Linked DNA regions of Caenorhabditis elegans. The protein of the gene in region 1 purifies or fractionates together with the protein of each later gene. This does not show direct contact. Each region holds a gene or a part of one and is shown on either strand. Other genes may lie near its edges. The genes, in order: rmh-1 and dbd-18.

Evidence for each region.
Region 2: the proteins of rmh-1 (region 1) and dbd-18 fractionate together in Caenorhabditis elegans (co-fractionation; one large-scale study listed by BioGRID). This does not show direct contact.

Annotation. Positions count from the first base shown.
Region 1 is NC_003279.8:5,571,188-5,577,515, forward strand, and holds rmh-1 (RecQ-mediated genome instability protein 1 homolog), read left to right. Parts: upstream 1-2,026; 5' UTR 2,027-2,055; coding exon 2,056-2,316; intron 2,317-2,362; coding exon 2,363-2,817; intron 2,818-2,896; coding exon 2,897-3,032; intron 3,033-3,098; coding exon 3,099-3,609; intron 3,610-3,706; coding exon 3,707-4,216; intron 4,217-4,289; coding exon 4,290-4,436; intron 4,437-4,487; coding exon 4,488-4,777; intron 4,778-4,835; coding exon 4,836-4,970; intron 4,971-5,028; coding exon 5,029-5,088; intron 5,089-5,132; coding exon 5,133-5,228; intron 5,229-5,270; coding exon 5,271-5,450; 3' UTR 5,451-5,562; downstream 5,563-6,328. Other genes in the region: cey-3 (CSD domain-containing protein), read right to left, coding at 769-1,138, 1,185-1,495, 1,614-1,730; klp-15 (Kinesin motor domain-containing protein), read right to left, coding at 6,006-6,328.
Region 2 is NC_003284.9:295,281-300,096, reverse strand, and holds dbd-18 (DB domain-containing protein), read right to left. Parts: upstream 2,864-4,816; 5' UTR 2,850-2,863; coding exon 2,765-2,849; intron 2,255-2,764; coding exon 2,106-2,254; intron 1,922-2,105; coding exon 1,769-1,921; intron 1,657-1,768; coding exon 1,528-1,656; intron 1,055-1,527; coding exon 920-1,054; 3' UTR 810-919; downstream 1-809.

The DNA.
Region 1 (6,328 bases):
GAAACGTTCTGATAAGGCATATGTTGAAAATTACATCGAAGTATAATTCTTCAATAAAAAGACATCTGAGACGGCATTCAGAGGATTATTATGCGTGTAAGTTCCGCGTTTCAATAAAAATGTACTTTGCTGTTTTGAAACTATTATATGACTTCTTTTCTAGTTGCCCTTAACCTAAAGAATTCGTATTCCGTTAGTATTACAGAGCGGCGTAAGTGTTTGGACACCGTAAAAAATATTGTATACATCAAAAACTGCAATAATTTTCTGACCAAAATTATTACTATCGATCAAAACTCAACGGGTATAATAAGAAACCGACGCTGAAGACTACTGATAATTGATTTTATTTCTGTTTTTGAAAGTTATCGCAACGACAAATTTCACACTATCAGATGGTTGGAGAAAACTCAAATTATTTTATTGCTTATCGCGGCAAATTTATACCTTTAGCAAACATCGAATGGAAATACCTACGCTAGTTTTTCCAAAGCTAATTCTGAAATTTCCGTTTTCAAAAACCTAACTAGATGAAGCTCGAGAACCGTTTAGAAGTAAGAATCGATACCAAACAAATTAGATCGTAATGCGGGTGATGAAGAGAATTATTTACTTTGCCGACTTTCGGTTTATTATAAGAACACTTCTCTTTACAGGCTGACACAAAATAACAGATTTGGGGACATAAAAACATGCAGGAAACGGGGATCTAGAATTCTGTGCTATATAAATAAGTACAAAAGATTCAGGAACACAAAGCAATGAAATTTAGATCTGAGCATCAATCAACTGAGCACCAAGGCCAGCATCGTCGAGAGCAGAATCGCAACGATCGATCTTGGAGAGTCCAGCTTCCTCAGAGATGATCTTGGTGCAGGATTTCGAGTCCGGAGAAGCAGTTTCGGAAGAGGTCCCGAGAGATTCAGTAGTAGCAGAAGAGTCGGCAGCATCACCTGCTCCCTTCTGGTCCTTCTGTTTGCGGTTTTTATTCTTACGCTGCTTTCTTTGCTTCTTTTTCTCCATTGCTACTGCCGGAGCCTCGACAAGCTTTTCAGTTTCCTTTGAATCAAAATCCTCTCCAACAACGATTTTCGGTTTACGATTCTTACGGAAGCGAGAGAGAAGCTGATGGCGATATCTAAAGTAACTAGTTTTCCAACTTTACTTGTCAATCAATAACTCACTTCGATCCAGAAACATTCACCCCGGCTGGTCCGGTGACATTTGCAGCCTCAGGTCCATTCTTACCATCGACCAGATCGAAGAGCACTTCCTCCTCATCGGCAAGTGTCCGAAGGTAAAATTTCTCAGTGTCCGATTTGGAAATAGCTGTTTGGTGAACGAAGACATCCTTCTCTCCATCACTACGGGAAATGAACCCATAGCGACGAAGTACAGAGTACCACTTCACCTTTCCTTGAAGTCCAGCGGTAAGAACAATCTTCGCCTTCTGCTCCTCCTCCCAAATGCGTATGCGCTCGGCAGCTGGCAGACGCTAAAAATCATAAAATTGTAAATGTTGTACATTAGCACGTCATGCATCATAAAGAAAACGAACTACTTCAAAACAGTCAATGGTAGTTCCCAAAGAAGTGAGTTTTAAAAAAACTTACATGCTTGCTTGTATCATCCTTGCTTGGCGATCTTTTCTTGCCGATGGAGAGATCGTCGAGTTTCTTTTCGATGACTTGCTCATCTACTTCGACAGCAGTATTCGCAGTGTCCGACATTTTCGCCGTAGTTGCTCTTAGCACTTGAGGTACTGAAAAACAAGACTACATTGAGTGACTGAAGCTTCAAGGGTCGACGGCGTGCAGAAGAAAAGAAAAAAGTCGAAAAATGACAGATTAAGTGATAAACGCTCGCGGGCCTGTGGTCCCGTACGACCGTAACCAGCGTACCTGCACATCAAACATTTGGCGGCGCTTCAAGGTTTTAAACGCATTTCTTACATTTTTTTGTTAACAAATTTGTTTTCTTATTCAATGTTACACACATTTTCATTATTTTTTGTTGGTATTTGCAGAGCGAACGCATATAAAAACTACAAAATATATGAAAGAAACTGAACTTGATCGTCTTTTCTCTTGGCTTGCTAGGAAACATTACCCATTCAAGAGAGAATGGCTAAGAATATGCGTCCAGTATATCGAAGGATCACTCGGACAAAGAATTAAAACTGTTGATGTGAAGCAGATTGGTGAACTTGTCATACAACAGTTTTTGAATTCAAAAATATCCGAAGCTTTGGATCCCACCATGAAAATCCCAACGAGCGCAGTAAAAGTTGTCATTGTTAAAAGAATGATTTTCCAGGTTATTAGTTTGAAGATCTGCCGAAAATCAACAGGAATATTTTTAGGTTATTTCCTCCACGAATATATCAACATCCTTGTACGAGCAATTGTCAGAATGTACTCGACACAACGAAGATTTGGCTTGGTTTCATGGCGGATCCAAAGCTGATCACGAAGAAGAAAATCGCGACAAAGAAAAAGATGTGGCCTCTGATCGCATGAATCATACGCAGACGAAAAATGCAATTAAGAAACGAGGAATGCTGAAAATTGAGCTCACCGATGGTGTGAATACTTTGAAAGCAATCGAGTTAGACGAAGTATTTGATGAAAAAATTATGCTACCCGGTGCAAAGATTATTCTCACAGGAAAAGTTAAATGTCGTCGTGGAAATCTTCTACTGGATAAATCTAATTGTGCTTTTCTGGGCGGCCGAGTGGAATCACTAAGTTTTGATAAAGTGGCACAATTATCAAATGCATTGAAGGTTGACTTAGACGCGGAGAAGAAACGAAGAAAGTAAGTTATCACTTAGATACATTAGAAATCAGACATCATCTTAGCTTGATTTAATTCTTCTAGTAAATTCAATTTTCAGAGCATCTCTGGAAAACGCTGCTGCTTCTGTATCACGAAATAACAAGAAACAAATAGACAAGAAAAATCTTTCCCTTAATCAATCATCGCTTTCTCCATTTTTAGTCAAAACAAGTCGAATAACGGGAGAGGTCACTGTAAGTATTTAATCTAGTTCCACTACACTTCTTTCAATGGCTTAAAAACAGTTCTGAAAATTACAGGTTCCGGTGAAACAGTCTTTGGTGCCTACTGCGTCACGTATTCTACCATCTTCCGTAGCAGTTATTCCCAGCATTCAAATAGAGAAACCAACAGATCCTATTGAAAATTGGGATTTTTCAATCGAAGAAGTTCCGCAAGAACCAACTCCAGAACCACCAAGTCATCATGTACGGGGCCTTGTTGAACATTATCCATTGCGTTCAAAACCACAAGATCCGCTCCCACCACCTCCAACGAAGCGTTTATCTTCATTAATAATTGATAAAAATTCGATTTCAAAAGTGTCCCAAAACATTTCAAATCAGGTCGAGAAAGGTCTACTGCAAAACAAGACGATCGAAGATTGGACTTTCAATTCGACAAATTCCTTTGACAAATCTAAAAAAGTTATGTCTATTGATAACTCTAAAGATCAAAAAATGAAAATCAAGGAACTTCCTGGACAACTAATACGACCGACTCCAATCGAAAAACCTATAATCGGTGATCCTAGAATGAACAGTGAGAAACGTAAGTTAAAACAGAATAAAATATAAAAACCTTTCAGCTATAATATGATCCTCTTAACAACAACTATACCACAAAAGTTTCAGTAAAAGTTTTCCAGGCAAAGATGTTTCCGTATGGGTTTGGGAAGATCGGAAAGGATCAGAAGAGGAAGACATTGCGGCGAAAAGGATCAAAAAGATAGATTCAGTTATGGAGATTCCATTATGTTTTGTGAAGGAAACAACTCGCCAAGCGAATCGAAGTAATGAAGAGAGTCGTCATAAATTAAATACATTTGCGCAAACAATTCATGGTCCTCGTAGCAAGATTGACGATTTTCGAGTCAAATCGAACAATGTTCCCGTTTTCAAACAAATTACAGATCACTTTATAACTGTGAAAAGTAATCCTAATTCATTCACATCTTCTACGCGTCATACACCACCTCAAATGCCGAAAGTAGTCGATTTTGGGAATTTTGAAGATTATGATGAAGATTATGAAGATGAAGTTCTGCCAACATCTTCGTTCCGAGATCAATTAAAACAAAGAAAAAGTCTAGATAATCATGGAGAAGATGTAGTCTTAGAAGAAGAAATGGATCATGTAGATCACGATGAATCTATAAGTGAGTTGTTTTTTAATTTATCGGAAAATTTAACTGATAATCTCGTGATATTCAAAAAAATATTTATATTCAGTTGAATGTACAATGGATCATGAGGGACGTTTGGAATGCGAACGATGGGGATTGCGTGGAAGGGAATCGAATATTATTGAGGATGATAAACGGAATGTTTACAATGGATATAATATGAATAATAATATAGAACGTGACAATAAATACGGTAAGCTATAACTGTCTTAATCAATCATCTGACATTTTGGAAAAATTTCAGATTCTTCAATGAATGGAATGCCCCAGCCAAATCTCCAGCATCCTCTGTCAATTCTTCCTCCTCCACCAGTCATTCCTCCTTCACAGAATTGGAATTATACAGGATACTACCAAGCTCCGCCACTTAGGAATGTAATAAAAAGCGAGACGGTGGATTCTGTTGTACCGGAGGACCAGAAAATGGTTGGAGCTCAGGGAAAGAAGAGACCAAATGTAAGACAAGAAAATGATAATATGAAAAACAAACAATCGGCGAATGTTCAAGTTTATAGGACACCTTTTGCTGAAAGGGTTTGTTTTTTTTTTCAGAAAAATCAAAATTATTTTCAAAAAAAGAGGTTTATTCTAGTTGAACAGTGGCGATTCATCTTCAAAATTGTCGCCCCAATTATTCCAACGAATGGCTGATCTGCAAATCGTACCATTCGGCGATGCACTATTTAATCGAAAATTCTGGATGATGTCAAAAATTGTAGTCATTATGGTAATAGCTGATATTCTGTACGAAGTAACAAAAATTCTAACATTTTCTCACATTTCAGCCAAGTATCTGCAGTCAAATACACGAGTTACAATCTGATGGCATCGATTGGCTACTACAGGTATATTGTCCAAATAATTCATTTCTAAATACTTTATTTTCCAGATACGAGTAACAGATACATCAGTAAAAAATGTTATCTGCCGCGTTTCCACGAGCCTTCTAAATCGAATTTTTGGATTTGATGTTCAACAGTGCAAGGTTACAAAATTAATGTGCTATTCGTAAACCTTTTTTTTTCAGAATTTATTCAACAAAAATCAAGTCGAGGAGCTACGTGCGAAGAAATGCGAAGCCGAACGTAAACTTCTTGGATTCAAACGTCTTGATCTTCTTTTATGGGTTGAGGTTTCACCAGAGCGTAACCAAATTCCGCTCATTCTTGACGTGAAAACGATTTCTGATGCTCTCAATATTTTGTAATTATTTCTATTGCTTGCTACCTGAATTCACGTGTACCACAATATAGTCATGTATTATTTAATTGTTCTTGTTTTTTTGTTGTTTCCAAATACAATACAACTGTTTTAAGCTTTTTCTTTCGTTAAAATTTCTTTAAAACAGAAATGTAACAAAAAACATAAATTTAAACAAACTGTATGGAAAACTGTACAGTTTTCGATACAACGAGAGTTTGAAACTACAGTACTCTTTAAAGGGTCATGCCATTTTCGAATTCATCAAAAGTTCGTCGGGTCGAGACATACATACTACAGTAAGAAATGTAATATTCTCATAAAGCTCAAAACAATGTATTTATAACCCAATCAACAGCATTTAGACCGGACTATATTTTTCCTATCGGGATCTCCCTTTGTTTTGAAACAGACGATTAAAACTCAAAAAACGCAAAGTAAAATTGAAATTCGTTCATTTTGTTAATGATCGAAATATTTAGGTTACATCAGTATAAAAGGTTTGCATAAGGCAATAAAAATAACGTTATTTTACATGAAATGTTAGAATAGAATTATATGTCTAGTTCATAGACATCTGGGACACGTCACCCAAGAGAGTCCGTTGCTGCACGGCCGATCCGATGTTAGTACTGCGCATCTTTGAGGCGAATTCGATGCTTCTCTTGGACTCTGTCGCTTGCTCGTTGCATGGATTGAGATTGACCACAACCATAGTCTTCGAGTTGCCACGTCCCAAGCAGTCCATCAGCACTTGTGTCAGTTTGCTGTCGCGATATGAAACATGTCCCTTCTGGGATCTTTGCTGGCTGATGCACATCTGAAGGATAGACAACGACTGGTTGATATTAGTCATCTCCTTGAACTGGTCGCCACTGACACCAG
Region 2 (4,816 bases), on another chromosome or scaffold:
TACAAATACCATGCTAATAGAAAAAATACTCTTTTTAATTAGGGCTGGCAATAAGTCCTGAGTCAACATTTATAATTCAAAATTCAAGCAGCCAGACTAACAGAAGAAATGAGGCAATTATAGAGTTTTTTTTTCTTGGAATTTTTGTTTTGAAACACTGGCAAATTAATGAGAATGCTCGTATATACGAACTCTACGGTTGGGTACAAAATTGAAACTTAAAAAAAAATTTCCAATCAGTTCACTTCTGGCTTTAGAAGTGGAAAGGCATAGGACACATAAAGTATCTTACTGAAAGAAATTATATTATCAAATAAATACATTAGTCATTCAAAATATAATACTTTTTTACTGTAAAAAACGACCACTTTAAATCATTTGATTCATTCTCCAGTAACTCAAAAAAAACATTCAAAAAATTCGACAAACATTTTACTTATTTAACATTTTTAATGGACTTGATTAAACAATTTCACTAATTTTTTGAAAGGCTGTCTTGAAAGATATAAAAATGTCTCCATGTCTATGAAACTTCATAAAATAAACATTTGACCTGAATATGCATAAAAATTATTTGTAGTGGACTATTGAGAAGAAGTCCTTTCAAATGAAATACGTTTCGTTCAGAAAATAACTGAACGCATTGCAAAAAATCAAAACTTATGACGTTTTTTTCTCAAGGAACAATAGAATTGTAAAATGAAATGTTTCAAAAAGTAAAATAATTGGAAAAAAAAATCAATTTGAAAGCAATCTTCCAATTTTTATCAATGTCGACTATTGCCTGATAAGATAACAAACATCATATTCCAATTAATATTTTATTATTATCAACATTATAAGTGCACTGCTGCAAAAATGTAACCTTTGGTATGCTGAAGGGTGAACTTAAAAAAGATAAATAAATGAAGTGGTTGAGTTACATTTCGCGTATTCCGGCATGATGACAGTACATAATAACATTCCAATTATACAGGCAAGTCACATCTTCCTTGGTTATTCTATCGATTGAAGTACCCGATGGATCACACATTCGCAAGCAACGAGATCCAACCTAAGTTTTTATTATCATTAGTTGACATAAACGGGTTTCCATGATACGGCGCCCCACGCAGCCAACACTATCTGGGTTCCGCGCCGCGCTAATTTGCCATAGTTTTCAAATGAGTATACCTCAAGTTAGGAAATTTTGAAAGAAAAGTTGAACTGATTAACTGTTGCCCAATATGTGATCTACATCTTAACACACATGTTTCAACGTTTCAAAACATTAAAGTCAAGAGATACAACGCCCGACACCTTGCGAGCTCATTTTTGTCAATTCTTTTTGGAACATCTGTAACTTGAGACTGAGAAGTTTTCATAGGAGCAGTTTTCTTAATAACCTGAACCAGTGAGGCAAAACAGTGTTTTGAGAAGCGCATATACAACCTTACATGTATATTTTACCGGTTTTTGAGATATAACCAATTAATTACACACCATAGAAAACTCTTTCCAAAAAAATCTTCCAAGTTATTTATATACCTGAAGTTGAGGGGCATTGAGATCTAAATCCAAGCAGCATTTCCTATTATCTCTGTTCTGGCTGGCACAGTACAAAATTGACGACAGGTGTTTAATTCGGCACTGGCTATCTTTCCGCATGTTGGTCAGCTGCAAAAAGTTTGTTTTTGGAAATATAAAAGAGGTACTCACAACACAATTGTTTTATTGTCATTTATAACGTTAGGCAACTTACTATTTTGAATTTACTTTGGACACTTACCATATTTCTAGTAACCGACTGATCAGTTTCGTACACACACATGTGATGGCATTCTTCTGGAACATACAATTGACAGCACGACAAAAAGAGTTTGTTCGCAATTCCCTTGGAAGTGCATGGTTGATAGTTTACCTCCGATGTTCCACATTTGCCCTTAATTATCAAACAATTGTTTTGGAACAGTACTAATGGAAATCATGTATTTTTTTAACCTCAGAGCTGAAATATTAGGAGCCCAAATGCTGCTGCCGAGATGCTAGAGCTCGAGCCCAAATGCTCGAGCTTAAGATAATTAGCTTGGGCTCAAACAATTATATCAGTACAAAATAAAACTGACCAACGGTTTTCTCGGAGCAGAGCGGCGATCATTTCCAACTTTTCTGGAAAAAACTGCAATTTTTCTGTCTGGACAGTTTGACATTATGTATTTATAACATTGTCGGGGAAGTCGACATCCTGGGGTGATAGGTGCTGTGCAGCAAGCCCCTGAAAACCAATGTTTTTTGTACGCATGTATTAACATAGAGCAAAGCTGATATATATATATATATATATATATATATATATATATATATATATATATATATATATATATATATATATATGTGTAGAATATGGCGAATCGGGTTAAAACCGGACAACGGGACGCGTTTTATACCCAATTCGTCCAATTTGCTAGCCCTGTTGTAGACTCACTAAGAAATGTTGTATTTTTTTCCATTCCAGATATATTATGGGAACTTGAGTGAACGGGCCTTAATTTTGAGTTATTGTAAAGGTTAAGCACGACATTTGGTACATTTTCAAAACCTATTTCAATGTTGCTAAAATGACTAATAAAACGTTTCAAACGATTTTTGAAAATGTTTTATTTCAAGTCAAAAAGCGATAAAAACTCACTAGTCAATTTTCATGATTTTGTTTTTACAACAATTGATTTTAAGAGATTTTTGCGCAATCAATTTTATACCTAAACGTTTACTTCGTTCAGGTTACCTTTTTTCACAGCCGGACATTTTTTTTCGGACGATACAAACTGAGTAAGAAACAAGACAAGCAATGAAGACGATAGAAGACGCATTCTGATACCAAGAGCTGCAAGATTTACAAGTTGTGTCAATTGAAAAATAATCTTGAAAATAGGTTATAAAAAATGTTTGAAATTTACATCTTTTGACCATTCAAAATGATTTAGTCAAAAAATGTTCTAATTTTTCAGAGAATCTGGGCTTAAAGGTGGAGTAGCGCCAGTGGGAAAATTACTTTAAGGCATGCCTATGGTAACACAATGACCAAATATCATAGTAAAAAAAATTTAAAAAATTAGTCTAAATTTTATATGATTTTTTGAAAGTTGAAAAAAACCCGAATTACATCAAATTCCCATTTGAATTACCGCCAATAGTTCAATGTTCGATGGAGTGTGCTTGAAATATACATTTTTTTAAATAAATTTTTCTCATTTTTGACAGATTTTTGATGTTTTTCGTGTAATCTAAGTAGAAATTTAGTGAAAAATTCAACACAAATGTATATTGTGCATTGAAAACAATTGAAAAACAAAGAAAGAACGTATTCCAACGACGTCGAGCCTGAAACAATCAATTGCACAGGTTTACGCTTCACTGTCCTCTTTTTGATAAAGAATTTACATTTATCTTGAATTTTTCACTAAATTTTCACTAAAATTACACGAAAAAAAAAATTAAAATTCAGACATAAATGAGAAAAATTGATAAAAATATGGCAAGCGCACTCCATTGAACATCGAACTATTGGCGGCAATTCAAGTGGGAATTTGATGCAATTCGAGATTTTTTCAACTTTCAAAAAATCATATAAAAATTTAGCAAAAATTAAAAAAAAATTTTTTTTACTATGATATTTGGTCATTGGGGTACCATAGGCATGTTTTAAAACAATTTCCCCGCTGGCACTAGTCCAACTTTGAGGATAATAAGCACCATCAATACAGTTCCCGAATGTTTGCCAATTTAAAACGTTCTGAAAACTTCAAATGTATAAGAAACGACTTTTGGCGCAATTTTTCAGATTTCGGTAGTTGGGGAAAATGTGCTGAACTTTTTTCAAGTTGAAATTAAAATTTTTGAAGTAGGAGCTTTACAGCTAAAAGTGTTTTGCGTAAGCTCGTTTAAACAAAATAATCTGATGGGCATACGTCTTGTTTTGAAACTTTGAACGAAAAAATTCCGTTTCCTTGTACAAATTGACAAACCCTATTTTTTAAAAATTCGTTTTTTTTTCAAATTTAAAGTAACAAGAATAAAGAACATCAAATACAAAAACAAAAGTAGGTGTTGGATAGCAAACAATAATTAAGAAGTGAAAAAAGAAAGAGAGAGAGAGAGAGAATTCAATCTGTTCATTGAGTAACAGTCAAGAAACGGAAAATTAGGGCAAACGGCGCATCAAACGGTTGCGGGTAAATTAATGTTCACGAAATCGGCGGAAAAAGACACAGGAAAAGAGGCCATGTATTACCCTTTTCCACTTTTCTGTTCCAAGCAACAAATTACATTTCTCGATCAAAGAGAATCGCGAGAACTAGTGAGAAGCCAAATGAAGAATAAATATAGTTTTTTGTAGCATTCACAGGAGAGTTCAAAACTAATTGGTTTGAATGAATTGTCGATTGTACGGGAGGAAAATTTTTTGCGAATTTTTTCATCCCAAAAAAAAAAGGAAAAAAAACACGCCCAGAAAAAACAAACAAACATTTTTGTCGCAGTCACCGAGGACCTAATTTTTGAATTCCAATTTCAACAGGCATATGACTGCACTTTTTTGCAAAAAAAAAATTTGGATTTTTTGGGGAATTGATATGGTAAAAAATTGCTAATTTTTTTTAATATCAGGGGTACATTTCTGGAACCTAGATATTCCATCCCAGCCGCGCTACAGGGGTTTTTGTCTTGAATTCCAATTTCAACAAGCATATGACTGCACTTTTTTGCAAAAAAAATTTTTGGATTTTTGGGGGAATTGATATGGTTTTCGTTTCGTTTCTGTATCCGTTTCTGTAGCTAC